Callithrix jacchus: one gene and its partners. The protein of the gene in region 1 purifies or fractionates together with the protein of each later gene. This does not show direct contact. Links are inferred from orthologs where the notes say so. Each region holds a gene or a part of one and is shown in the gene's direction. Other genes may lie near its edges. The genes, in order: NHERF2, LPAR2, PRKD1, PLCB3, ARHGEF6, PHLPP1 and PHLPP2.

Evidence for each region.
Region 2: the proteins of NHERF2 (region 1) and LPAR2 purify together in Homo sapiens (affinity purification with western blotting; 3 studies listed by BioGRID and IntAct, with this or other methods). This does not show direct contact. The link is inferred for Callithrix jacchus from reciprocal best matches to the Homo sapiens genes NHERF2 and LPAR2.
Region 3: the proteins of NHERF2 (region 1) and PRKD1 purify together in Homo sapiens (affinity purification with mass spectrometry; 3 studies listed by BioGRID and IntAct, with this or other methods). This does not show direct contact. The link is inferred for Callithrix jacchus from reciprocal best matches to the Homo sapiens genes NHERF2 and PRKD1.
Region 4: the proteins of NHERF2 (region 1) and PLCB3 purify together in Homo sapiens (co-immunoprecipitation; 3 studies listed by BioGRID and IntAct, with this or other methods). This does not show direct contact. The link is inferred for Callithrix jacchus from reciprocal best matches to the Homo sapiens genes NHERF2 and PLCB3.
Region 5: the proteins of NHERF2 (region 1) and ARHGEF6 purify together in Homo sapiens (affinity purification with mass spectrometry; 3 studies listed by BioGRID and IntAct, with this or other methods). This does not show direct contact. The link is inferred for Callithrix jacchus from reciprocal best matches to the Homo sapiens genes NHERF2 and ARHGEF6.
Region 6: the proteins of NHERF2 (region 1) and PHLPP1 purify together in Homo sapiens (affinity purification with mass spectrometry; 3 studies listed by BioGRID and IntAct, with this or other methods). This does not show direct contact. The link is inferred for Callithrix jacchus from reciprocal best matches to the Homo sapiens genes NHERF2 and PHLPP1.
Region 7: the proteins of NHERF2 (region 1) and PHLPP2 purify together in Homo sapiens (affinity purification with mass spectrometry; 3 studies listed by BioGRID and IntAct, with this or other methods). This does not show direct contact. The link is inferred for Callithrix jacchus from reciprocal best matches to the Homo sapiens genes NHERF2 and PHLPP2.

The regions. Positions count from the first base shown.
Region 1 is NC_133513.1:4,719,474-4,722,973, reverse strand, and holds part of NHERF2 (Na(+)/H(+) exchange regulatory cofactor NHE-RF2), read left to right. Parts: intron 1-1,899; coding exon 1,900-2,079; intron 2,080-2,303; coding exon 2,304-2,457; intron 2,458-2,534; coding exon 2,535-2,578; intron 2,579-3,157; coding exon 3,158-3,220; intron 3,221-3,456; coding exon 3,457-3,500.
Region 2 is NC_133523.1:18,319,776-18,323,893, reverse strand, and holds the start of LPAR2 (lysophosphatidic acid receptor 2), read left to right. Parts: upstream 1-1,318; 5' UTR 1,319-1,459; intron 1,460-1,575; exon of another isoform or gene 1,576-1,962; intron 1,963-2,048; 5' UTR 2,049-2,268; coding exon 2,269-3,010; intron 3,011-4,118. UniProt on the Homo sapiens protein: Receptor for lysophosphatidic acid (LPA), a mediator of diverse cellular activities. Seems to be coupled to the G(i)/G(o), G(12)/G(13), and G(q) families of heteromeric G proteins. Plays a key role in phospholipase C-beta (PLC-beta) signaling pathway.
Region 3 is NC_133509.1:63,838,468-63,841,967, reverse strand, and holds part of PRKD1 (serine/threonine-protein kinase D1), read left to right. Parts: coding exon 1-200; intron 201-3,500.
Region 4 is NC_133511.1:121,312,176-121,315,675, forward strand, and holds part of PLCB3 (1-phosphatidylinositol 4,5-bisphosphate phosphodiesterase beta-3), read left to right. Parts: intron 1-207; coding exon 208-276; intron 277-362; coding exon 363-503; intron 504-695; coding exon 696-775; intron 776-857; coding exon 858-911; intron 912-1,025; coding exon 1,026-1,101; intron 1,102-1,204; coding exon 1,205-1,305; intron 1,306-1,844; coding exon 1,845-2,011; intron 2,012-2,084; coding exon 2,085-2,231; intron 2,232-3,500. UniProt on the Homo sapiens protein: Catalyzes the production of the second messenger molecules diacylglycerol (DAG) and inositol 1,4,5-trisphosphate (IP3).
Region 5 is NC_133524.1:133,481,096-133,484,595, reverse strand, and holds part of ARHGEF6 (rho guanine nucleotide exchange factor 6), read left to right. Parts: intron 1-1,407; coding exon 1,408-1,494; intron 1,495-2,290; coding exon 2,291-2,369; intron 2,370-3,380; coding exon 3,381-3,500. UniProt on the Homo sapiens protein: Acts as a RAC1 guanine nucleotide exchange factor (GEF).
Region 6 is NC_133514.1:105,930,218-105,933,717, forward strand, and holds part of PHLPP1 (PH domain leucine-rich repeat-containing protein phosphatase 1), read left to right. Parts: intron 1-1,750; coding exon 1,751-2,914; 3' UTR 2,915-3,500. UniProt on the Homo sapiens protein: Protein phosphatase involved in regulation of Akt and PKC signaling.
Region 7 is NC_133521.1:30,256,504-30,260,003, forward strand, and holds part of PHLPP2 (PH domain leucine-rich repeat-containing protein phosphatase 2), read left to right. Parts: intron 1-386; coding exon 387-1,541; 3' UTR 1,542-3,500. UniProt on the Homo sapiens protein: Protein phosphatase involved in regulation of Akt and PKC signaling.

The DNA.
Region 1 (3,500 bases):
TGCCTGGCATCGCAGGACCCTACTGACAATGAGGAGGGTTTAGGCTCGATGACAGGCAGAACTTCTTGCCTTGTAGAGTTAAAGACACAGAGGGGTGGCCAGAATGACTCCGAGAACATGGAGGGGGCTTTGGCCTGGCCTCAGGGCCCCAGATGCCCCACCAGATCCTGCTTCCTGTCTGGTGCCTTGAGAAAGCCTGCCCGGCAGTCCTCTGTGCAGGTGTGGGAAGGGCTGCGGGGCCAGCACTGCGGGGCCAGTCACATGTGTGGGTGGCTATGCGTATTCCCAGGTGTATTTGGGTGTCTCGTGTCTGTGACCCTGTGACGTGTGTCTGCAGCCTGGCCCGTGTCACGCTCCCACCTCCCCTCCCAAATTGCGCTCCTGTCCCCACACCTTCCCTCTGTGTCAGGCCAGCCTTGGGGGCTGAGCTCTGATGCATCCCTGAGGGGCACCTCCGTGGGCAGGTGTCAGGGTCAGCCTTAAAGCCCCACGCCTGTGCTACCAGGTGTGTCTGGAGGAAGGGCGGGTTTGTGTGGTGGGGCCCTGAAGATTTTGGGGGTCTTGTACCCTCCAACCCATGTAGCCCAGCTGAGCCCCCTGGGGACTGAGGAGCCCCAGCCTTGTCCCTGGAGTTCCTGGTGTGATGGGCTGGGTGGCAGCCATGCAGAAAGGCTTCAGGTGGGCAGGAGGCTCCACAAGAGGTGTCTGGCAGGCAGGACAGGAGGAGGGTGTTCCAGACCAGGGGCAGGGCTTGAGCCGAGGGTACGGGGCACTGGCCTTTCGGGGAAGGACCCCTGTGCGCCCTTGGTGGGGCGGCACCTGACCCCCCCCGCCACTAGCATGGCTGTTCCCAGTCCACTGGGGTTTGGAGTGAGCCTGAAGGTGGGTGGCTGGAGGGGTCAGGGGTATGTGAGGCCCGGAGACCTGCCTTCCTGAGGTCTGAGTGCCCTTCCCGCCGTGCTAGCCTGGCCCTGGCTTGGCCTCAGATCCCTCAGGAACACACAGGGTGGTAGGAGGTGAGGGATGGGCCCGGGCGGCCCCCCACCCTGCCCGCACACTCTCCCCTGCACACACCCTCAAGCCTGGCACTCCCTGGAAACCTGAGCTGTCGCCCGCCTGCTCCAGCCACCGCCATGTTTATCTGAGCACAGGCAGCCGCTGGCCACTGCCACCTTGCCTGCCCCGGCCCAGCCCCTGGTTGGGGGGATCACTGGGCCTGGCCCCTGCCTGCACGGTCCCCTGGCCCAGAGCCCCACTGCAGGATGCCAGAGGTAACATGGGGCAGGGCCCTGGGATGGTATCGTGGTCCCTCAGGGGATCAGTAGGCGCTCTGTGCCCTGTCCACTCTAAGCTCCGGCCCCAGCCCCTGCTTGCTGGGCCCATGGGGGTGGGGCGGCTCATTTTCCCGGAATGTGAAAGCAAACAGAGCCGCCACCGCAGCTAGCCACGGAGGACTCTGGAGACAAAACAAAACTGCTGGCCTAGGAGCGCCTCACCCACGCTCTGGAGGCGAGCCTGGGGCAGGGGGACACACAGGCAGGGCCCTTGGGGACAGCCACCTAGGAGGCCGATGGTGACAGTTCGTCCCACCTGGCACTTCCTCCCACCCCGCCTGTGCACCGCACTGGCCTTGAGCCCAGAGAATTCTCTCAGCAACCTGGGAAAGCTGCTGGGCCCATCGGGGAGGCTCCTGGGTTTAGAAATAGGCTTTGCGAAAGTTCCCACAGCTAGAGCTCCGTCACAGGCAGCCTGGACACCCAGAGCCTTTGCCCCCGAGACCTGGGCCTGCCTGTGGGGGGGCATGGTACTGAATTTGGGCAGGGGCAGCTCCACCTGAGAGTAACCTCTCAGGGCAGGAGGCTGGAGCCAAGAGACTGATCCTGTTTCTCGGGCCTGCAGGATGTCAGTGGGCCCCTGAGGGAGCTTCGCCCTCGGCTCTGCCACCTGCGAAAGGGACCTCAGGGCTATGGGTTCAACCTGCACAGTGACAAGTCCCGGCCCGGCCAGTACATCCGCTCTGTGGACCCGGGCTCCCCTGCTGCTCACTCTGGCCTCCGCGCCCAGGACCGGCTCATTGAGGTACCGGCCCACCGGGACTGCAGGGTGCTGGGTACCCCATGCCCGTCCACATCGGGCCCCTCGGTCCCTGCAGGGAGGAAGGAGATGCCGGGAACCTGAGCTGGCGTGCTTCCTGCTGCCTTGGCGGGCGGTGCTTGTGATGAATATTTGATGCCACACCTGGCCACGTAGTGTGGGGGGCTGTCTGGGTCCACTTCGGGGCTGACATGTGCTGGTGGTGGCAGGTGAATGGGCAGAATGTGGAGGGGCTGCGCCATTCCGAGGTCGTGGCCAGCATCAAGGCCCGGGAGGATGAGGCCCGGCTGCTGGTGGTGGACCCAGAGACAGACGAACACTTCAAACGGCTTCGGGTCACCCCCACCGAGGAGCATGTGGAAGGTGGGCCACGGCCCGGGGAACAGGGCGGGCACAGTGTGGTGGCCGAGCAGCCACTGACACGCTGTCACCACCCACAGGTCCTCTGCCAACACCCATCACCAACGGGACCAGCCCTGCCCAGGTGAGTGGATGGGGTGCCATGAGACACGGTGCCTCTGGGGTACTCAGGCCGACAGAGGCCCCCTTCTCCCTGGAGATCCCTGTCCTTGAGGAGGTGTGGTAGTGACACCCAATTCTGGCCCTGTCACCTGTCTTTAATGGCCCTGTGGATCTAGTCCTGGGTCAGTGCCACACCTAAGCTACATGGGGCACCTGGGGTTGGGGCCGCTGCCTTTCCTCCCCTCCTGGGCAGCACCTGGTAAGGAGTTGGTAAGCTGTCCAGTCTCTGCCTCCTAAGGGAGCTGGCGGTGGCCTCACCGCAGGCATCGGGCATGCTGGCTGTTCCTGTGCCCACTCCCTCTGCACCATGAGCTGGCCAGGACACCCGTCTGTTACTGCCAGGCACGGGTTCCCAGTGCCTGCCCCGCCGCAGCTGGAGTGCACCTGAGGCCCGAGGCCACAGCCGAGTGGAGGAGCACACACAGCTGTGGGGCGTGTGCATGTGTACGTGTGTGTGCGTGTGCAGGCACTGCGTCTGTCTGTGAACCAGCGGCTCCCTGGGCGGGAGCCCTGAAGCCACAACCTGTCCTTGCTTTCCCAGCTCAATGGTGGCTCTGCGTGCTCTTCCCGGAGTGACCTGCCTGGTTCAGACAAGGACGCTGAGGTATGGATGTCCTTCTCCACCACTCCTGAGCTCACACTCGGTGCCAGAGACCTCGGGGTGGGTATCTGTGGAGGTATCAGCCAGGCAGAGGGGTCTGTGCCTCCAGGATGCCCTTGAGAGCCCACTGCCTCAGCCCCAGCAGGCGGCCTCTGGTGGTTGGTCCCTGGGAGGGGCTACCATCTGGGGTGTGGGACTAGGGCTCACTGCAGGCACCCCACCCACCATGCCCACCCCAGGATGGCAGTGCTTGGAAGCGAGACCCCTTCCAGGAGAGTGGCCT
Region 2 (4,118 bases), on another chromosome or scaffold:
ACACCTGCCTGCCTCCTCCCACTCCAAGTGACCTTGGAGGAGATGGGCAGCTCAGACTCCACATTCTGGTGGTGCCTGGGGTCTGATGGCCTCTAATAAACTGTGTCCTGGATGCCCTTGGGTGCGTCTCTGCCAGGGGAGAGGCCAGTGTAGACAGCACTCCTTGCCCCTTATTTACCAATCAGGGGAATCCAGGCCTCCTTTTTTGTTTATTGAGATGGATGGAGTCTCACTCTGGCCAGGCTGGAGTGCCAGTGGCATGATCTCGGCTCACTGTAACCTCTGCCGCCCAAGTTCAAGTGATTCTCCTGCCTCAGCCTCCTTAGTAGCTGGGACGACAGGCGTGTGCCACCAGGCCTAGCTAAATTTTTGTATTTTTAGTATTGACTGGTTTCACCCTGTTGGCCTGGATGGTCTCAATCTGATCCGCCTGCCTCGGCCTTCCAAAGTGCTGGGATTACAGGAGTGAGCCACTGCGCTCAGCCTCAAGGCCTCATTCTCACATCGTCAAACAGGCTGGTGCACCTACCTAAAGGCATCTGGAGCTGGGCCACAGCACCCGGCTGAGTCACACCGGCCCGGCCCTCCCGGAGCTCTGCGTCCCCGATCCGGTCCTGCATAACTAAATACAGTATAACAAAGTGCAGATAACCGGGACAATGGGGCTGTGTGCTCCAGACCGTGGGAGCCCTGGGCCGCTGCAGGGGGGCCGAGGGAGGAAGCCGCAGGGCAGGGCAGGGCCGGGCTGTGCAGGGGGCAGCGCCGTCCCAGCGTGGGGGAGTGCGGGGGCGGGATTGCAAAACCCTAACTTGCCCAGGATCAGCTGGGGCCACAGAGATGGGCCCTGCACGGGAGGCCGCGGCGTCCGGTAGCTGCAAGCTGGGAAAGCCGAGGCTGGGCGGGGGTCCGGGCAGTGGGAGCCGAGTCGGATCAGGGAGTGGCTAGTAACTCGGCGGCTGATTGGACACGAAGAAGAGCTCGGGGTGGGGCTGCGAGGGTTGGGGTCCGGACCCGGGGCGCGGACCCTAGACCACCTAGAACTACACCCGGTCGGCGCGAGGTCACGGTGGGAATTCTCGGGTCGCCCGAATGACTCAGCCCCGCAGACTCGAAACTGCGGGCGCGTGAGGTGTGCAAGAACCCGGGTTGGGGGTCCCCGCCGGAAATAGAGAGGGGCGACCGAGGGGCCGCGAGGAGGAAACTGGAGGGTTGCGGTTCCGGGCGACTCCGCCCCCGACGCGGCCGCGGAGGCGGGGCTTCCCCAGGTGGCGGGGCGGGGCTCCCCAGGTGGCCGGGGCGGGGCGCCGGGGGAGACCCCGCCTCCTGTGCCCTCTCTGCAGCCCGCGCCGGGCGTACCCGGACGCTCCTCCGCTCCCGCCGAGGTTACCGGGCCATGGGCCTGGAACCCTCCCCAACCCCCCGCGAGCCTGCCTCGTCTGCAGCGTGACGGGTGGCCCAGGTGAGGCCGGCACGGACTGGAGGCGGGCGGGTGCGGGCCTGGGCCCGGGGGTAGGGCGCGGCACGTGCCTGCGGGGCCAGGACGCCGCCCCCTGATCCCTTTCCCCCTACCCCTTCCCCAGCCTGGAGACGCCTGGAGGCCCGGCCAGCCGTCCCTTCCCCAACCGCTGTCTTTGTCCCAGAGACCGCCAATGTCCTCCGTCCCACCCGGAACAGCCCAGTGCCCCGCCCGTTTGGGAAGCACTCGCGCCCAAATCCCGTCGCGCAACTTCTGGGGCCGCCTCTCTGCCCACTCCGATCACCTCCACATCTCGGCACCGCCCCCTCGCAGGGTCTTAGCAAGTGACCTCACCCTTGTGCGCACACGCCACGGGGTCTCTGCTCCCTACACTCACTCCGGCACCAAAGTGACCCTTCCTCATCTCGTCCCGCAGCTCACACCCCTTTGTCTTGCCCTAACCCTCCTCTCCCCACAACCCAAACCGGATCACACAGTGGCGGCAGGTGAGTTGGGATTGGACCACGGATGGGTTTTGTTTCGCTGCTTCTGGTTAAAAAACCCATTGACTTCTGTGATGTCGTGCACACAGGTCTTATTAGTAGATAAGAAACAGCTGCTCGTCAACCCCCACCTGAGCCCCAAGGAGCTTGCGTTTTCCAGGCCACCCTGGTCCTCACCACTGCCACTTTGCTCCAAGGCATCTGAATTTGAGACCCTTCCCATTCCTGTGCTGACCCTCTTCTGCAGCTACCACCCCTCCCTGTGCCCTTCCAAGAAGCCCACATGCACTGATCTCTGTGTGTCCCCAGATGGTCACCATGGGCCAGTGCTACTACAACGAGACCATTGGCTTCTTCTATAACAACAGTGGCAAGGAGCTCAGCTCCCACTGGCGGCCCAAGGATATAGTCGTGGTGGCACTGGGGCTGACTGTCAGCGTGCTGGTGCTGCTGACCAACCTGCTGGTCATAGCAGCCATCACCTCCAACCGCCGCTTCCACCAGCCTATCTACTACCTGCTGGGCAACCTGGCCGCGGCTGACCTCTTCGCAGGCGTGGCCTACCTCTTCCTCATGTTCCACACTGGCCCCCGCACAGCCCGACTTTCCCTTGAGGGCTGGTTCCTACGGCAGGGCTTGCTGGACACAAGCCTCACGGCCTCGGTGGCCACACTGCTGGCCATCGCGGTGGAGCGGCACCGCAGCGTGATGGCCGTGCAGCTGCATAGCCGCCTGCCTCGTGGCCGCGTCGTCATGCTCATTGTGGGCGTGTGGATGGCTGCCCTGGGCCTGGGGCTGCTACCCGCCCACTCCTGGCACTGCCTCTGTGCCCTGGACCGCTGCTCCCGCATGGCACCCCTGCTCAGCCGCTCCTATTTGGCCGTCTGGGCTCTGTCGAGCCTGCTTGTCTTCCTGCTCATGGTGGCTGTCTACACCCGCATTTTCTTCTATGTGCGGCGGCGAGTGCAGCGAATGGCGGAGCATGTCAGCTGCCACCCCCGATACCGAGAGACCACGCTCAGCCTGGTTAAGACTGTTGTCATCATCCTGGGTGAGTGGGACCCTGCTTCCCCCTATTTCCCACAAGACACTATGAAGCAACAAGCAAAGCAAGCTGCCTGATAGAGGGTGATGGGTGGCTGACTTAGGTGGGGAATGTTCTTTAGGGAGGTGATCTGTGAGCAGAGGCCTGAATGCTGAGGATAGGAACAGAGAGTTCCAGGCAGAGGGGACACAAAGTAAAAACTTCAAGGCAGTACCAAGCCAGAGCCTCTAAGAGGAAAGCTGACTTGTGAGGAGGGTTCAGCAAGGCCTTAAGGGGCACCGACAGGAGTAATATTTTATTTTGAGTTTTGTGGGAAGCCCTTAAGCGTTTTTAGCAATGTTAAGCCTGGTTTAACAAAAAGCCTTTAAATTATTTTTTAATCTATACATATTTTTTCATTTCAATTTTTTTTTTCCAGGGTGAGTAGGGAAGAACATTTCAATTTTTTTTTAAGAGATAGGGTCTTGGCCAGGCGTGGTGGCTCACACCTATAATCCCAGCACTTTGGGAGGCCGAGGTGGGTGGATCACGAGGTCAAGAGATCGAGACCATCCTGGTCAACAAGGTGAAACCCCGTCTCTACTAAAAATACAAAAATTAGCTGGGCATGGTGGTGCGCACCTGTAGTCCCAGCAACTCAGGAGGTCGAGGCAGGAGAATTGCTTGAACCCAGGAGTCTGAGGATGCGGTGAGCCGAGATTATGCCACTGCACTCCAGTCTGGGTAAGAACAGTGAAACTCTGTCTCAAAAAAAAAAAAAAAAAAGAGAAAGAGAGATAGGGTCTTACTCTGTTGCCCAGGCTAGATTACAGTGGCTCCATCATAGCTCACTGCAGCCTCAACCTTCTGAGCTCAGGCGATCCACCTGCCTCAGCCTCCTGAGTAGCTGGGACTACAGGCATGCACCACTATACCTGGCTCATTTTCTTTTTTGTTTGTTTTTATTTTTTAGAGACAGGGTCTAGCTATGTTGCCCAGGCTGGAGCGCAGTGGCTATTCACCAGCGGGATCCCACTACTGATCAGCACGGGAGTTTTGACCTGCTCTGTTTCCAAACTGGGCTGGTTCACCCCTCCTTAGGCAACCTGGAGGTCCCCCGCTCCCGGGAGGTGAC
Region 3 (3,500 bases), on another chromosome or scaffold:
TACCCCAGCTTACCTGGCACCTGAGGTCTTAAGGAACAAAGGCTACAATCGGTCTCTAGATATGTGGTCTGTTGGAGTCATCATCTATGTAAGCCTAAGTGGCACATTCCCATTTAATGAAGATGAAGACATACATGACCAAATTCAGAATGCAGCTTTCATGTATCCACCAAATCCCTGGAAGGAAATCTCTCATGAAGGTAATACCTTCCATTCAAAAATGATAATGATCTAATCCTTATGTGTTTATGTTATTAATTTAAATGAATTTAATTGTAAGTTATTACTTGATAAATGCTCATTGTACAGTGTCTGCCAGAGTGGAGACACAAAGACACAAATTAATTGGGGTAGGACACATATACATAACAGAAATTAGGGATATATATATATATATATCCATATATTCATATATATATATATATTTCTTTATATATAGAAGTAAGTGAACAACCAGATAGAATGTATTTTGGTACATTTCCTTAGAACTTATAAATATTTATAACTTAATATAATGGTAATGATGAATTATTGTAAAGGCTTACTTACATGTGCCTAGTTCTTTGTTAAAAACTTTTAAATTATTATCAAGACAGGAATGTTATGACATTGATAATTGATATTTGAATGATCATATTACATGTATTAGTTTACTAAGTTCTTTGTCTACTGATGTTGTTTTTAGCATTAAAATATGTATATATTTTACATGGCCATTCCCCTGGAATTTTTAGGTTATTTCTCTGTGTTCAATATTATAACATCCTGATGTATTATTCCTATATTTATCTCTGATAGTTTCTTTAGAATAAATTACCTTGGTAATGTTGCATTGTTTAGAGCCATATTCTTACTAAGTATTTCATTCCTCTTAAATAAAACACAATTGTTTTAAAAGAAGTTACAGGGGCTTACAGGGCAGAGAAAGTGACTTATTCAGTACTTTGGAAAGGAGTTCCTCAGTTAACATTCATTGGAGTGTATTTAATTCTCATAAAAAATTTCATAAGATAGATGTTACTATTATGGCTATATTTCAAGTGAAAAAACTGAGCAAAAGCAATGACACCACTGCTCAAACTACAAAGCTAGTATATAGCAGGGGCACAATTCATACCCAGGTTGTCTGAACATACATCCTTTCACCACTAGCCCTACTTCTTTTCTAGTTTACAGGCAATATCTAGTTCTAGGTTCATTCTGTTTGTTTGAATATTCACCATGTGGAAAGGCTAGTACATTTGTAAACCTCACTTATGTGATGCCTGTTACTGCATATGTCGGTATAGAAATGGGAAAAGAGTATATGAACTGCCTAGGATAAATTAAGTTCTTAGACTGCTAATGGTATTAAATGCCAAGAGCTATCCATTATCAGAGTTTTAAGTTACCATTAGCAATAACCTTTAACATCCTCTAATTAGTTGCAAATCATAGGTAGATGGATATATCTTAAAGGAACCTGTGGCCCACAAAAGAACTATCATGTGTGCCAAAGGAATAATTAAATATTTGTCATAATTCAACAAAGATGAAAAGTAAAGTGTAATTATGTTTCTTTTCCAGGAGACAGAGTAGAGCGAATTATCAAATAACCTTGTGACCAGTACCCTTGATAGGAAACATTACATCTAAGTAGAGCTAACCATTATGCTTGATACTGCTAATCCAGAAATCCAGTAAAATAACTTGATCCTGTTATCAGAATGCAAATCTGCAGTATCACTGAAGCCAATCAGACACTTTCCTGTTGTACAGAAATTGGATGTTGGGAAATAATCTTTATGTTTTTAAACTTTTTTTTCTTGGAGTAGTGGAACAAATGATGTCCCTTTCTCTGCTTTTGTGAAAATTTGACTTACTAAGCAGCTATATAGCCTATTAAGACAAAACATATTCAGGCCAGAAATAAATGTTTATAAATTATGAACTTTTAATTATCACTAATAATAGACTCTGGAGGACTAGATATCAAAGGCTTAGGAAACAGTTTTTGGGAAATCACAATATACGTACTTGGTAGGTAATACAAAAGTAGAGGACAGAATATCAGACGTGCTTCAAAGAACTTGAATGTTAGTTGGGGAGATGAGTTATGTGACATTGGATAATATGATAATTTATTTCCTTGAATTGTTACTAGGTGGAAAATCAGGGCCTCTAAGTTCAGAGGAAAGAGAATCACCATGTACTTAACTAGTTAGAACTCTACTTTCAGAGGAGACAGAATTTAGGCCAGTCACTGAAGAAAGAAAAGAAAGAGACATAGCATTTTAGCAACAGGGAATTATGTAGGATAATTCAAAAGGCATTTATATTTGACTAGGATTTTACTTGGCTGTAGAAAGGTCTAAGCACTAAAAATTTCCTACCATTCAAATAAAGTGATATGGAGATCAACTCAGATGGGAGATAGAACCCTCACTTTTCCAAATGACTCAGTACCTCCTTATGGCTCACTCTTTCCTTGGAGGCACAGGCATTATACTGTTATGTGAACTAAAGCTCTGAATGGCAAAAAGAAAAAAAAGTTATTTAGCTGCTGATGTATGAACAGAACTCATGCTTGAATATAGAGAAAAGTTAGTTAAATTGCATCATAATATCAGTTAAGGTGTCATAAAAGTAGTTGCTGGCTCAGGTTCTATTCCATTATCTTATTGAAAACAAATAATTCCATCATTAGAAGTTATAATGGAGTTGAGACCAAATAATTTTAATTTTAAGCTTGTAGGACCTGATAAACCAGCAAAACTATTAATAGTATCTGTCACAGGGTGGTCACAACTGATATTAGATCAATTTTTAGTCTCAGGATACTTTAAACCACACCAGAAACACTGAGAATTCAGATCCGAGGAAATAAAACTCCAAGTACCTCCATGATTCTGACAAAGATGAATGGTCAACAGTCAAGTAGTTTGAGACAGAGAGTCCTATCTGCCATTGTGAGTAGTCATCCCTTACCTTCTTTGGGCTTCATTTCCTCATCTGCAAAATGGGAAATGATTCCTGCCTACATAATGAGGTTCTAACAAAAACTGACTGAGGTAAAGGTTATGAAAGGCATCTATAAAGGCAGGTGGGGGGTGAGCCAAGAATTTGCATCAGGAGGAGGACAGCAGAACACTAAGCACTTGCCTGGCTGGTAACCAAAGATTGATGGTATCATTTTAGAAACAATGTGAAGGTTTCCTTGGTGTTCTTTGGACATATTGCTAGTTGTATTTTTTCCTGGCATGAAAAAGCAAAAGAAAGTGTTGTTATAAGGTAAGATCTTAATAATATGCATACATGTGTCAGAATTATAGATTCCTTTACTATGTGTTTTTTCTGTTAGTGTAGATGTTGACTTGATACAATATAATATCTCTACATTGGGGTGGTTGTGTAGCATTGTGCTGCTTGATTCGCACAACAATCCTCTGATAAGTGATTTGCTTTAGTCTCTGCATTAGAGAGAATAAAGAAAGGTTTCAAGACCTCGAAATCAAGGATTT
Region 4 (3,500 bases), on another chromosome or scaffold:
CAGACTCCTGCCCTGCCCGTGGGGGTGGAGCCCAGCTGCAGGCTGACCTCTCCCACGGCTGCCCAGACAGGAAGTGCTCAGGCCAGGAGCTAAGGCTGGGGCTGTGGCCAGGGGCTGGCCCCACCCTGGCCTGGGTGGGGAGCTTGGAGGCTCCTGGCTGTGGACCTACAGCTTCTCATACCCAGCCTGGCATCTGGTTCCCCCCAGGAGGTAGACACACTGGACATCAGTTCCATCAGGGACACACGGACGGGCCGGTACGCCCGCCTGCCCAAGGTGAGTGATGGAGCCCAGGACTGAAGACCACAGTGAGGTTGTGAGGCCCGGGAACCCCTCCTCACCCTTGGCTCTCACCGACTCAGGACCCCAAGATCCGGGAAGTTCTGGGCTTTGGGGGTCCCGATGCCCGGCTGGAGGAGAAGCTGATGACGGTGGTGTCTGGGCCAGACCCCGTAAACACAGTGTTCTTGAACTTCATGGCCGTGCAGGACGACACAGCCAAGGTGGGCCGGCACCGAGGGGTTGAGGGAGGAGTCACTGCCTTACTCTCTGAGGCGGCTGTCACTTACTGACACCTGCTGTTTCTAGGCTGCTCTGTGACCTACTGTGTCCCAGAGCCAGTTGCGGGCCTGGGCTGTGGCTGGGCAGCCCCTCTGCACCCCACTCACTGCCTCCCTGCGTATACTGGCCCCCAGGTCTGGTCCGAGGAGCTGTTCAAGCTGGCGATGAACATCCTGGCTCAGAACGCCTCCCGGAACACCTTCCTGCGCAAAGCGTGAGCCCCAGGCCACCCGAAGGGGATCTGGGGGGTTCACGTGGCTGTTTTCAGGGTGTGACCCCTTTACCTACCTCCCCAGATACACGAAGCTGAAGCTGCAGGTGAACCAGGATGGTCGGATCCCCGTCAAGAAGTGAGCACCCCTTCCCCAAACACCTTCCTCCTGCCCTGACCTTGGTGACCCTTGCCCCTCACTGACCCTGCACCGCCCCCACCGCCGACCCTGTACCCCTGCTGCCCGCATCAGCATCCTGAAGATGTTCTCAGCTGACAAGAAGCGAGTGGAGACTGCGCTGGAATCCTGTGGCCTCAACTTCAACCGGGTGTGTGAAATAGGGGTAGGGGCAGGTGGGGTGTCATGGTGGGTACCCACCCTTCCAGGGCTGGCTGCCCCTGGGTTCTCACCCCACACTCCTTGGCCCCCAGAGTGAGTCCATCCGGCCCGATGAGTTTTCCTTGGAAATCTTTGAGCGGTTCCTGAACAAGCTGTGTCTGCGGCCGGACATTGACAAGATCCTGCTGGAGATGTGAGCAGGGCCTGCCTCCCAGCTCCCATGCTCGTCTGTGGCTTCTGCTTAGCGCGCCTCTAGCTCAGTGGGGAGAAGGGGAGCTGGTGGGCTGGGTCCTGGAGCGCCGGGGTGGGCCCGGGGAGGACCTGTCGGTGTGTCCCTGCTCAAAGCCACCGTTTGTGTCCCTCAGTTAGTTACAGGTGCTCTGGGCTGATCACGTGGCAGAGGTGTTTAATCAGCCCACTCTGCGATGGGAAGCAAGGCTCAGGCGTCCTGTGAGATCTGGAAGCGAGGGGTGGTGGGCCGAGCACTGGGCAGCTCCCAAGCTCTGGCCATTGCCAGTGCCCACTGGTCTGCTGCCTTGCCAATGCTGAGTAGTCAGAAGAGTGAAGGGAGAAACTGTGGCCCAGAGCGGGCTGTGACTCACCCAGAGTCCCACTCACTGGGTGCCAGATCCAGGGGCAAGCCTTCTGACTCCCTTGCCCAGGGCCCGGGCTTGTCGAGCGGATGGGAGCCTGGTGAGGCTCCAGCCTGACCTGGCTTCCTGCCCCCTCCAGAGGTGCCAAGGGCAAGCCGTACCTGACGCTGGAGCAGCTCATGGACTTCATCAACCAGAAGCAACGCGACCCGAGACTCAACGAAGTGCTGTACCCACCCCTGCGGCCCTCCCAAGCCCGGCTGCTCATTGAGAAGTATGAGCCCAACAAGCAGTTTCTGGAGCGAGGTGAGCTGGCCAGGGTGCAGGTGGGCGGGGCAGGCGGGGCCCAGCTGACCCTGCTGACCCCCTCCGACCCCAGACCAGATGTCCATGGAGGGCTTTAGCCGCTATCTGGGAGGTGAGGAGAACGGCATCCTGCCCCTGGAAGCCCTGGATCTGAGCGCAGACATGACCCAGCCGCTGAGTGCCTACTTCATCAACTCCTCGCATAACACCTATCTCACTGGTGAGCAGGGCGGGCTGGTGCCCGTGACCTCCGCTCGTGGCATGGCCCACTCCTGAGGCACCGTTCTTTCATCTCATTTGCTTGTTAATTGGCCGGTGCTGGGGATGCAGGCAGGGAACAGGTAGCCGGCCCTGGGCAGTGGGGCCTCTCTGCGGCAGCATGCCTCATGGTGGCTTCCCCAGGGAAAGGCTGAGGCCTGGAACGGCCTGTGTTAAGGCCTGGAGCAGGAGACTGAGGGTTTTTTTTTTTCTTGTTTTGAGAACGAGTTTCGCTCTTGTTGCCCCAGCGGGAGTGCAATAGTGCGATCTCAGCTTACCGCAACCTCCGCCTCCCGGGTTCCAGTGGTTCTCCTGCCTCAGCCTCCCGAGTAGCTGGGATTATAGGCATGTGCCACCACGCCTGGCTAATTTTGTATTTTTAGTAGAGATGGGGTTTCTCCATGTGGGTCAGGCTGGTCTCGAACCTCAGGTGATCCACCTGCCTTGGCCTCCCAAAATGCTGGGATTACAGGCGTGAGCTCTTGCCATGCCTAGCCGGCAAGGTGCTTTCAAGAGGCTGGAATGGGGATGGGTGTAGTGGCTCATGCCTGTAATCCAGAACTTTGGGAGCATAAGGCAGGCAGATCCCTTGAGCCCGGGTTTTGAGACCAGCCTGGGCAACACAGTATGACCCCATCTCTACAAATAATTTTTTAAAAATTAGCTGGGTGTGGTGGTGCATGCCTGTGGTTCCAGCTGCTTGAGAGGCTGAGGTGGGAGTGTCCCTTGGTTCTGGGAAGGTTGAGGCAGCAGTGAGCTATGATTGTGCCACTGCACTCCAGCCTGGGTGACAGAGTGAGACCCTTTCCCCCCAAAAAAAGTGAAAAAAATAAAAGCAGAGCTGGGTGAAGTGGCTCACGCCTGTAATCCTAGCACTTTGGGAGGCTGAGGTGGGTGGGTCACATGAGGTCAGGAGTTCAAGACCAGCCTGGCCATCATGGTGAAACCCCATCTTTATTAAAAAAAAAAAAAAAAAAAAAAAAAAAAAGCAGAAAGGAAGCTGGGGAGTCAGGATGCAGAGTGGGCTGGGGATAGGTTCCTGGTGTGAGAGGGAGAACAAGGCAGGGCAAGACCCAGGGCCCGGAGGCACTTGTATTCACCCTGAGTGGAGGGAGCGGCTTTTTGGAGGGTGAAGCAGAAGAGGTGACATGACCCCATGATATATTTTTAGAAAGATGATGCCAGGTGCTCTATAGAGATTGGATTGAGGCTGGGTGCAGTGGCTCACGCC
Region 5 (3,500 bases), on another chromosome or scaffold:
TTTCTTTTAGGAAGGGGGCCAGGGAAAGGGAGGAAGGTTGATTATGGCACCTGGTTTGATTTATCGGGTGTTAGAATTGTCTTCCTTCTCCCAAAACATCTTCCTACACTCTGACACGTCTTTGGCAGAGATTCATTACTTTGGGTTAATAAGCAATCTCATTTAAAATGCAGATACCCCAGGGAAGGTTAATGTCGTGAGTCTAACTATTAGTCATTCACACCTTTGGGATAAACCTCTTGGGTGAAGGCAGGAGGAATCAGTGCTATAAAAAAATAAAAAGACAAGAAGGTAGAGAAGAAATTGGGGAGCATGAGTTGTAGAAATTCCATGAGGAGCATTTGAAAATGGCCAGTGTACCGACTGCTGCTGAAGGTTCAGAGGGCAAGGAGTGTGAGGACCAAGAGAAAGCCATTGGATATTGCTAGAAGGCAGTTATTGATGACTTTGCAAGAGCAGTGGGGGTGCAGTTAGGGATGGATCAATGGGGAGAAAATGAAGGCAGCAACTAATCTGGCAATAAAATGTCAAGAAATGGGAAACTACGCATAAATAGCCACATGGGGGTAAGCAAAGGTCTGTTAGGACAGGAGGTGTGTGTAAAGGAAAAGAGGAAAAGCTAGTAAAACAGGAGAGGATGCTGGGAGAAGAGGAGATGTCTGTAGAGGAAAACTAAGTGAGACAAAGATGTGAGAGAATGCGGAGCGCTTTTTAGAATAGTTAGCCTGGAACGGTTCCTCTTCTCAAATGGAAGGAAGGAGATGGAGACAGGCGTAATTGTAGCTAAGATGGCTGGGCATGTAAGCTAAATGTAATTTTTGAGTATACTAATTGCATATCTGTTGAAGGGGCTCTTCTCATGTGTAAAGGTTTCCTCAGTGCCCTTAAAAAAGTGTATCTACTTTTACATTTTACGTAAATCCAATAATTACCCTGTTCTTAATGACTAAAGCGAATTTTATGCATATGACTTTAACATATATTTTAGAGCATACTACATTTCTTATCACCTGAAAACCCCTTAATTTTGCCATTTTTTTCTAAATAAAATATATTTTCATTTTGTGAACCTGGAGACTTATTTTGTGCCTAGGACTAGCACATCTTGCTGGCTGCATAAACTGTGGTTTCTTCTCAGGCTTTCATACATGGAAAGCAAGCATGGTTCTTTGTATTTAACTGTTATATATAGGAAGAAGAGAGAGAACTGTGGGTTTATGTCCATTTCAAAGTAAAATTCAACTAGGTTTTTGTTTTCAAGTTGGATATCTTTTTTTTTAAAAAAATCACTTTTAATGTTTCTGTTGTTTATATAAGGTCTATGCTATAAGGCAGTGATTCCAGAAATTCTCAACAAATAAAATGTCCAGTTTTGTTCTTCAAATAATATTGTTCATTCTCTCTCAGGAAAAAGAGGAGCGGTACCTTATGTTATTTTCAAATGTCCTGATAATGTTATCTGCAAGTCCTCGGATGAGTGGCTTTATCTATCAGGTTAGTAGATTTCATATAAAACACACAGCAGACCCCCTAATGAAAACAGGTTTCCAACCAGATGCAGTATCTCCACTATGGCATTAAAAGCTCAAGCCAAGAGAACCAGAATGTTCTGACCGTTCATTTTAATTAAAAAGAGAGTCTAAGAGCAGATGTTCCTTAGATCAAAGATCTTTGTATTAGTGTAATGAGTTTATCTTGAATATATCCACCGCTTTAGTTATGCTCTGGGTTTTGAATGCATAAATGGAAACTAGATAAATTAGCAGCAGTATTGTACAGGCCCATGTCATTATTGCTGAGAAAACATAAAGCTGAGATCTGCTCCTATGCTTGTCTGATTATAGTCAGATCACATGATTCAGGCTTCTAAGAAGCATGTTATTAAACTCCTTAGGAAATTAAATGTCCCTCAGTCTGCTCCAAGATATAGAGTATTAAAAGTTACTATTGCCTGTTACATCTTGGCCTGGCAATTAATAATTTTCATAACATCTGAGCCTTCTCTTCTTTTTTAACTGTTTCTTATGAAAATGCTTTAGAAAAGTAAACTACTTTGTAAATCATGATCTTAACAGTTTAGGGTGTGTTAACCAAACACAATCCACATTTCCCCGTTGCTTTCTTGTCTGATTAAAATTTAGAGCAGGGAAACATATTATCCATTGACAGACTGGAGAAATACATCTAGCCATAATTTTGCAGTGCTGAGAGGGTCAGAAAATCTAACACTCTGAAATAAACAGAGACTCCTATAACTGCAGAATTAATGAGAATGTTCTTTTTCTAATAGGGAAAAATACCAATACCAGGAACAATGGTGGCTAGATTAGATGAAATTGAAGGGAATGACTGCACATTTGAAATCACTGGTAGGTAATTTTCTCTTTTTCATGTAACTACTTCCAATTCCTTTTGCAATGAAGGGGAATTTAATAAATAAATGCCGTCATTTTCTGTTACATAGGCCACGAGCAAGTTTTACATGGTCATGGCAAAGTATATTCCATTTCCTGGGATGATTAGGGTACAGCAATAGAACAGAGAAGTCTCTTCTCATTCAAAAGCCGTGGCTTTGCCATTAGTTTCAATCTTCTGTTGCATGAGAGCTACTTGTGAGAGCTAAGGAATAACAAAATGGAATAATGTAAATGTAATTTTCTCCCTTTCTGTCATTTGTTCCCTGGTGACAGAGAAGCCAAAGATATGGACTTTTATCAGCGATTTCATCATCAGCCCGAGTTAGCAAGATTTGGTTATGTTTCTAAAAAGTTCAGGAAAGCCATGAAACTATGTTCACAAATTGAGCACGATGCTGAGGCTTAATAATGCTCCCTGACATTTTAGCTTATGATCCCTTTTGCAAGGCCTGTGTCATTTATATGTAGTGGCCTCACTGTGGGTTCTGATACGGCACAGTGGCTAAGACTGGGATCATAGCCTTACTCTCTTCTTTCCCAAGAAGGATCCTAAGGTTTGGTGTTTGTCAAAAGATTGTAAACAGCCTTAGTTGGATCTTGTTCCAACTTTGATACTGGGAGAACCAGTACAATAGTCCCACTTTAGACTTAACTAGATGGACTACGTGCTTACATTTTTGGACTGTGAGTTTGTTTATAGTGAAGTTTTACACTACTTTTAAACTTCTGTAAGCAGTAAAAATCAAGGAGAGTTTTCTAAATCAGACACGAATATTTATTTACTTTATTATCACAGGTTATCTGTTTCTGATATAGAAGTTTCAACAGGGTTATCCCATAGGTGTGAAAACCCCTGAAAATACACACCCAAGTTCTAGTCGCGTGAAGTGTATTTCTGAATGGGACAAGCTCAAGTTTTTCCTTGTCTTTTGTTTTCAAATTGATCATAATTGGGGAATGTAGGTAACACAGTAGAGAGAATTGTGGTCCATTGCAACAACAACCAGGACTTCCAGGAATGGTTGGAGCAGCTGAACAGACTGATAAGAGGACCTGCCTCTTGCAGTTCATTATCCAAAACAT
Region 6 (3,500 bases), on another chromosome or scaffold:
ACACAGTGAGCAGTTCTCAACTGGGGGCAGTTTGCTTCCCCACAAGACATTTTTCAACATAGGGAGACATTTTTGGTCATCACAGCTGGAGCGGAGAGTGCACTTGGCATGCCATGGACAGAGGCCACTGAGCACCTGCTGCTGCTAAACACCCCGTAGGGCAGTCCCCACAGCGGATGGGGGTGTGTGTGTGTTTGAGGGTGTGTCTCAGGTAGAGAAGTAAAACCTCACTGTTAAATGTTAAGCAATGCAGACAAAAGCGAGGAACAGGAGAGGCACAGAAAACAGGAGAAGTCTGACGTGCAAACTATGATTCATTCAGGTCACAGAAATCATTTACCTTAATTGTGCTTGGCATAATGTTGATCTGAAGTTTAATTCAGTGCATTGTCTTCTGCTCCCTAACACAGTGCCTACTGTCCATGTTAATCCTTTCTGCTCTGAGAACAGACAGAGAACAAATTCACACACTCACTTGCACAGAATCCCATGTATAGCTTGAGTCTGTTTCTTTCTTATGGCCCTCATCAGAGCCTGTGTGGAATCAGTCTTTTTTCTCTACTGACTATAAACTTTCACCAGAGTCAAACTGCACATGATTCTATGGGTTTTATCAACAATATAAGACTAGAAACTTCTTGAAGGTAATGTGTATCTGCAGGTCACTGCTGTCTGCCCACGTCATTTTCTTCAGGAAAAGGCCAGATGACCGACGCTTTGCTGAATTAGGGAATGCAAGCAGCACTCCTGGAGCCCATGTTGGAAGCTTCACTGTCATGAGTCACAAAATATCGGTTTTGATGGAGAGAAATCTAAAGGCGTGGGCAGAACAGCAAGAACAGTTTCTGCTAAATTCCATGCTTTGGGGACAGATTATGTCCATAGAATCAAGGCAGTTTCTAAAGTTGTCCTCGAAGCTCATACTACTAATTTTACCAATGGGAATGCTTACCTGCTTAAAAGTGTGAAAAGCAGAGGAAAGGGAACGAAGGGAAAGAAGGGAAGGAGAGGAAAGGGAAAGAAGGGAAGGAAAGGAGAGCAAAGGAAAGGAGAGGAAAGGGAAAAAAGGGAAGGAGGAACCAGGTCTGGCGCTTTGGTAACTGATTTCATAACATGCACCCAGCTAAACTAAAGCCAGTAGAGCTTACCTTCTCCATTGACCACCAGGAAATCAAGTTCAAGGAAATTGTAAGAACTGGCATTTCCTTTAGCATCTGCTCTCCTGACGTGAGCATTCTTACCCACCTAGTCACACCAAGGCTTTCTCCACCCCTTAAGTACTTTTGAGTCCTCTCTGGACCTTCAGACACTAGTGCCACTTGTGATCATGGAGAGCAACGGAAGATTCAGGGGCACGGTCTTGATGTATGCCGGCCTCGTGTGTCTTCTATCAGAAAGGCTCTCCCATCTCAGAGTCCTGTGGGTTTACAGGAGGAGCTAGCCAGCCATGCTTGCTGTGTAAGGCTAGATGATGGCTTGCTGTAGAGAAACAGCGGGACTTGTGACCTAATGGGAACAGGGTCCCAGTAACACATAACCGAAATCTTTTCCTTTTGTCCCTACTGCTCCTTACCTGCCAAGGCCTGCTACCTGGGGTTTCAGATGACAGGTGCACATTAACTACTCACTTCCCTTTGTAGACCACACAGCACTTCTCTGTGGTCTGACAGTCGGGGACCTGCAGGGAAGATGCACAGTTGCTGCAGGTGCTCCGTATTAACTGTCTGTCTGCAAACCCTTGTTCTTTCAGGATGGCAAGGTGAACGGAGTGACTGAGTCCACGCGAATCCTGGGCTACACCTTCCTCCACCCCAGCGTGGTGCCTCGCCCCCACGTGCAGTCCGTGCTCCTGACCCCCCAGGATGAGTTCTTCATCCTAGGCAGTAAAGGGTTGTGGGACAGCCTATCTGTCGAGGAGGCCGTGGAGGCCGTGCGCAATGTGCCCGACGCCCTGGCTGCTGCCAAGAAGCTGTGCACCCTGGCCCAGAGCTACGGCTGCCACGACAGCATCAGCGCTGTGGTGGTGCAGCTCAGTGTCACCGAGGACAGCTTCTGCTGCTGCGAGCTCAGTGCCGGTGGGGCCGTGCCACCACCCAGCCCCGGCATCTTCCCTTCCTCGGTGAACATGGTGATCAAGGATCGGCCCTCAGACGGGCTGGGTGTGCCGTCCTCCAGCAGCGGCATGGCTTCTGAGATCAGTAGTGAGCTCTCCACTTCCGAGATGAGCAGCGAGGTGGGGTCCACGGCCTCCGACGAGCCCCCACCCGGAGCCCTCAGCGAGAACAGCCCCGCCTACCCCAGTGAGCAGCGCTGCATGCTCCACCCTGTCTGTCTGTCCAACTCCTTCCAGCGCCAGCTGTCCAGCGCTACATTCTCTAGCGCCTTCTCCGACAACGGCCTTGACAGTGACGATGAGGAGCCCATCGAGGGCGTCTTCACCAACGGCAGCCGGGTGGAGGTGGAGGTGGACATTCACTGCAGCCGGGCCAAGGAGAAGGAGAAGCAGCACCTGCTTCAGGTGCCAGCCGAGGCCAGTGATGAGGGCATTGTCATCAGCGCCAATGAGGATGAGCCGGGTCTGCCCAAGAAGGCAGACTTCTCTGCCGTTGGGACCATCGGGCGTCGGAGGGCCAATGGCTCTGTTGCGCCTCAGGAAAGGAGCCACAATGTGATAGAGGTGGCTGCAGACGCCCCTCTTCGAAAGCCGGGAGGCTATTTTGCTGCCCCAGCTCAGCCGGATCCCGATGATCAGTTTATCATACCCCCAGAGCTGGAAGAGGAGGTCAAAGAAATCATGAAGCATCACCAGGAGCAGCAGCAGCAGCCACCGCCACCGCCACCGCCACTGCAGCCACAGCTGCCACGGCACTACCAGCTGGACCAGCTGCCAGACTATTACGACACGCCACTATGACCCAGCCGAGCTATTTAACAAATAAACTAACCACAAAAGACGAGTTACGAGAGTCTCCCAGGCTCACATTAAACCAGGGGTTTTACTCCACGTCCTTCCCCCAGACACTGTTCCCAACCTGTCATTGCAGCTAATCTGTAGGTTCTCTTTCTTTGGGTTATTTTTTTTAAATAATCACCACTTCTAGTGATGCTTTACCAATACGATTTACATTTGTTAACTTCTCCCCCTAACATATCAGATATGTAAAGACAAAGAACAGAAGGTTTAATATATTACAGAGAACAGTTAATGATAATGTAATATTTTTAAAAATGGCTTTTTGTTTTGTTTGGAAGGCAGGACAGGCTGCCATTGCTAAATGATTTAATATTGTAATTCTGTATTTCTTTGGGGGGGAAAGGCTTTTTTTTTTTTTTTTTTTTTTGTCTTGAAAATAATAGACATTTGTAGAATATGGAGACTAACTCCTAGGAGTTGCTTTACTCTGTCAGGTGACTTAAGTCACTGGGATTCACTAATTTTCTCTGAGAGAACAGCTGATTGAGAATTTCTATTGTAAATAGCTCAGTGTTGTATAGTGAGG
Region 7 (3,500 bases), on another chromosome or scaffold:
TTAGTGACCTTTCTGAGTTTTGGCCTCTCTGAGAATACTAGTGATAGAGAATTAATGATAGTTCTGCTTAATTGTTTTTCTATCGTGTTTCTCTATTTATAAACATACTGAAGTCTGTTCTTCATGTTCAAGCAAACATCTTTTGGGATGGTGTTGCCTTTTAGTCACTTATTTTTACTTGGCTCTATAATAACCATATAGTATTTTGTCTTTTAAGACTTATCTACATTTATTCTTATGTGTTCACTTAAAATTATACTTACCTGTAGAAAAAAATCATATATAAATTGTTTTATTGTATATCCCTAAGCAGTGTGATCTAGAAAGATATAAAGTTGCTTGTCATTGTTGCTTGTTTCTCAAATCTGTATCCTGCTCTTCTGTAGGACAACAAAGTGAATGGGGTAACCTGCTGTACCCGGATGCTGGGCTGTACATACCTCTACCCTTGGATCCTCCCCAGGCCCCACATATCTTCCACTCCACTGACCATTCAAGATGAGTTGCTGATTCTGGGAAACAAAGCGTTGTGGGAACACTTGTCCTACACAGAAGCTGTCAGTGCTGTACGTCATGTACAGGACCCATTAGCAGCTGCTAAGAAGCTGTGCACATTAGCACAGAGCTATGGCTGTCAGGACAACGTAGGGGCAATGGTGATTTATTTGAATATTGGTGAGGAAGGCTGTACTTGTGAAATGAATGGGCTCACCCTCCCAGGTCCTGTGGGGTTTGCTTCAACCACCACCATCAAGGATGCCCCTAAGCCAGCCACTCCTTCCTCTAGCAGTGGGATTGCCTCTGAGTTCAGCAGTGAGATGTCCACCTCAGAGGTGAGCAGTGAAGTGGGGTCCACTGCTTCTGATGAGCATAATGCTGGGGGCCTGGATGCTGCCTTGCTTCCGAGGCCAGAGCGGCGCTGTAGCCTCCACCCAACACCAACCTCTGGGCTGTTTCAGCGCCAGCCTTCTTGTGCCACCTTCTCCAGTAACCAGTCTGACAATGGCCTGGACAGTGATGATGACCAGCCTGTTGAGGGAGTCATAACAAATGGCAGCAAGGTAGAGGTGGAAGTAGACATTCACTGCTGCAGGGGCCGGGATCTAGAGAGCTCACCCCCTCTCACAGAGAGTGCTTCTACCCCATGTTCTGAGGAACGTGCTAGAGGGTCGTGCTTTGGGATCCGAAGACAGAACAGTGTGAATAGTGGCATCCTCCTGCCAATGAGCAAGGACAGGATGGAGTTACAGAAGTCTCCCTCCACCTCCTGCCTCTATGGGAAGAAGCTCTCCAATGGTTCTATTGTGCCCCTAGAGGACAGCCTGAACCTCATTGAAGTGGCCACAGAAGCACCCAAGAGGAAAACTGGCTATTTTGCTGCCCCCACTCAGATGGAACCAGAGGACCAGTTTGTTGTACCTCGCGACCTGGAAGAAGAAGTGAAGGAACAAATGAAACAGCACCAGGACAGCCGGCTTGAGCCTGAGCCGTATGAAGAGGATCGGACCGAACCCCCAGAGGAGTTTGACACAGCGCTATGACTGCTCTGCTGGGCACAGTGTGGGAGGAGGCTGTGCAGGGTTGGGGTAGGGTCCTGCTAGAGGCATTCCGCCTCTACATTTCTCTCTCTCTCTCTTTTGTGTGTCTGTGTGTATGTGTTTTGAGATGGAGTATTGCTCAGTTGCCCAGGCTGGAGTGCAATGGCACAATCTCGGCTCACTACAACCTCCGCTACTGGGTTCAAGCCATTCTCTTGTCTCAGCCTCCTGAGTAGCTGGGATTCCAGGCACTCGCCACTATGCCTGGCTAATTTCTTTTCTTTTCTTTTCTTTTTTTTTTGTATTTTTTTTTAGAGACGGGGTTTCACCGTGTTGGCCAGGCTAGTCTTGAACTCCTGACCTCAGGTGATCCGACCATCTCAGCCTCCCAAAGTGCTGGGATTACAGGCATGAGCCAGTGTGCCCGGCCCTGCCTCTACATTTCTAACCATAGCTGTGTGGGATTGAACTCAGAGCCAGAAAGGGTGAGAGCCATCAGGGGCTGGCTCTGGGTAAACTAGTAGCCACTATCAGTGTTAAGTTTCACATTTAACCTGCATTGGAACTCCCAGGGGTACTGGGAAGAAAGCAGCTGTTCTGTATCAGTCCTACCACCTGCCATTAACCCTTTCTCTCCTAGGATCACTTTGAGAATTTGCCTGCCTGGGCAGGAAAGGGACTATTTCTGTGGAGGAAAAAAGTGAAGATTGATTCTCTTTACTAGTTGCTGCTGATGGATCTCTGTGACAGAGAAATCACCTTATCTCAGACTAATGAGGTGTGATGTGACTAGTCACATGGGTTTTCATTCTTCTCTACGAGAATACAGCCTATCAAAATGATGTCTGTTGGAAATGTAGAACCAATCAAACAGATACTTTATGTATGTAATACAATGAGAGCACTTTGCATTGACTGTGAACTTTTTATTTTTGAATCTGCACTAGAGCCAATCTTAGAGGCAGCCCGGCACCTTCATCCTAGGCAGAGAGAGAATTGGGTGTTGGAGCCTTATCCAAGGGTACTAGGAAGGGCCCTGGGAAGTTGACTTAACTGGTAGATGTCAGACTGTGAACGCTCCTGAGAACCTTGGGGTAGCAGGATCTTCTCTTGGGGCTGAAAAGGGGGAAGGAGGGAGGACCAAGACTACTTCTCCCTAGATCAGAGAAAGAGAATTACTCCTTGACAAATATGACACCTGCTACGAATTTCCCAGGGAAACTTAGGGATTGGCCTCTTTCCTAACATGTGGAGGAGTTGGCAGACAGCCTCCTAATGGGGAGGGCCAAGGCTAACACTGCTTGCGTCCAGGTGACCTTAAGTTACGGCAGATGACACTGAAATGGATTGAGGCCAATGAGAACAGATGGATGGAGTACTCAGGTTAGACTTGTTTCTTCTCCTATGCTGGAGGAGAGGGATTGTTTTCTAGAATGTTAGAAGTGAGTTGAGAGCCCACCTCTTGAATGTTGAACAGTGTACTCTTCTGAAAACTGCATATTCAGTTTATGTGGTTTCAGAATACTGGGCTCAATACCAACATAAGAAAGACACTTCATTGAGAAATTCTTAAGCTTACAGAAAACCTGTATTTTTTGCACATTCCACTTAACTGTAGCAAAATTCAGTTTCTTCCATATTTTTGTCACTTTTTCCATTGTAAGATTTACTTAGGAAAATCAATTCCTATTTATTCCCCAAAATTTTGGCATTGCTTGATTTTACCCAGTGGGGAATGTGCTTTGAATTTTTGGAACACTTTCACAATTAAAAATAGAGTAGAGCCATTTTTAATTTGTTTCATGAGAAACAATATGTTAAAGAGAGGGTTAAATATAAATATGTTTTCATGTGTGTGTTTTTTGAAGTTTTTGTTAAAAGCAATAGTCAAAAGCTAGATGACCTGTCCATAATAATCACGTGTCTTCATCTTCTCAGAGGCCCCATGCCCAGATGCACGTG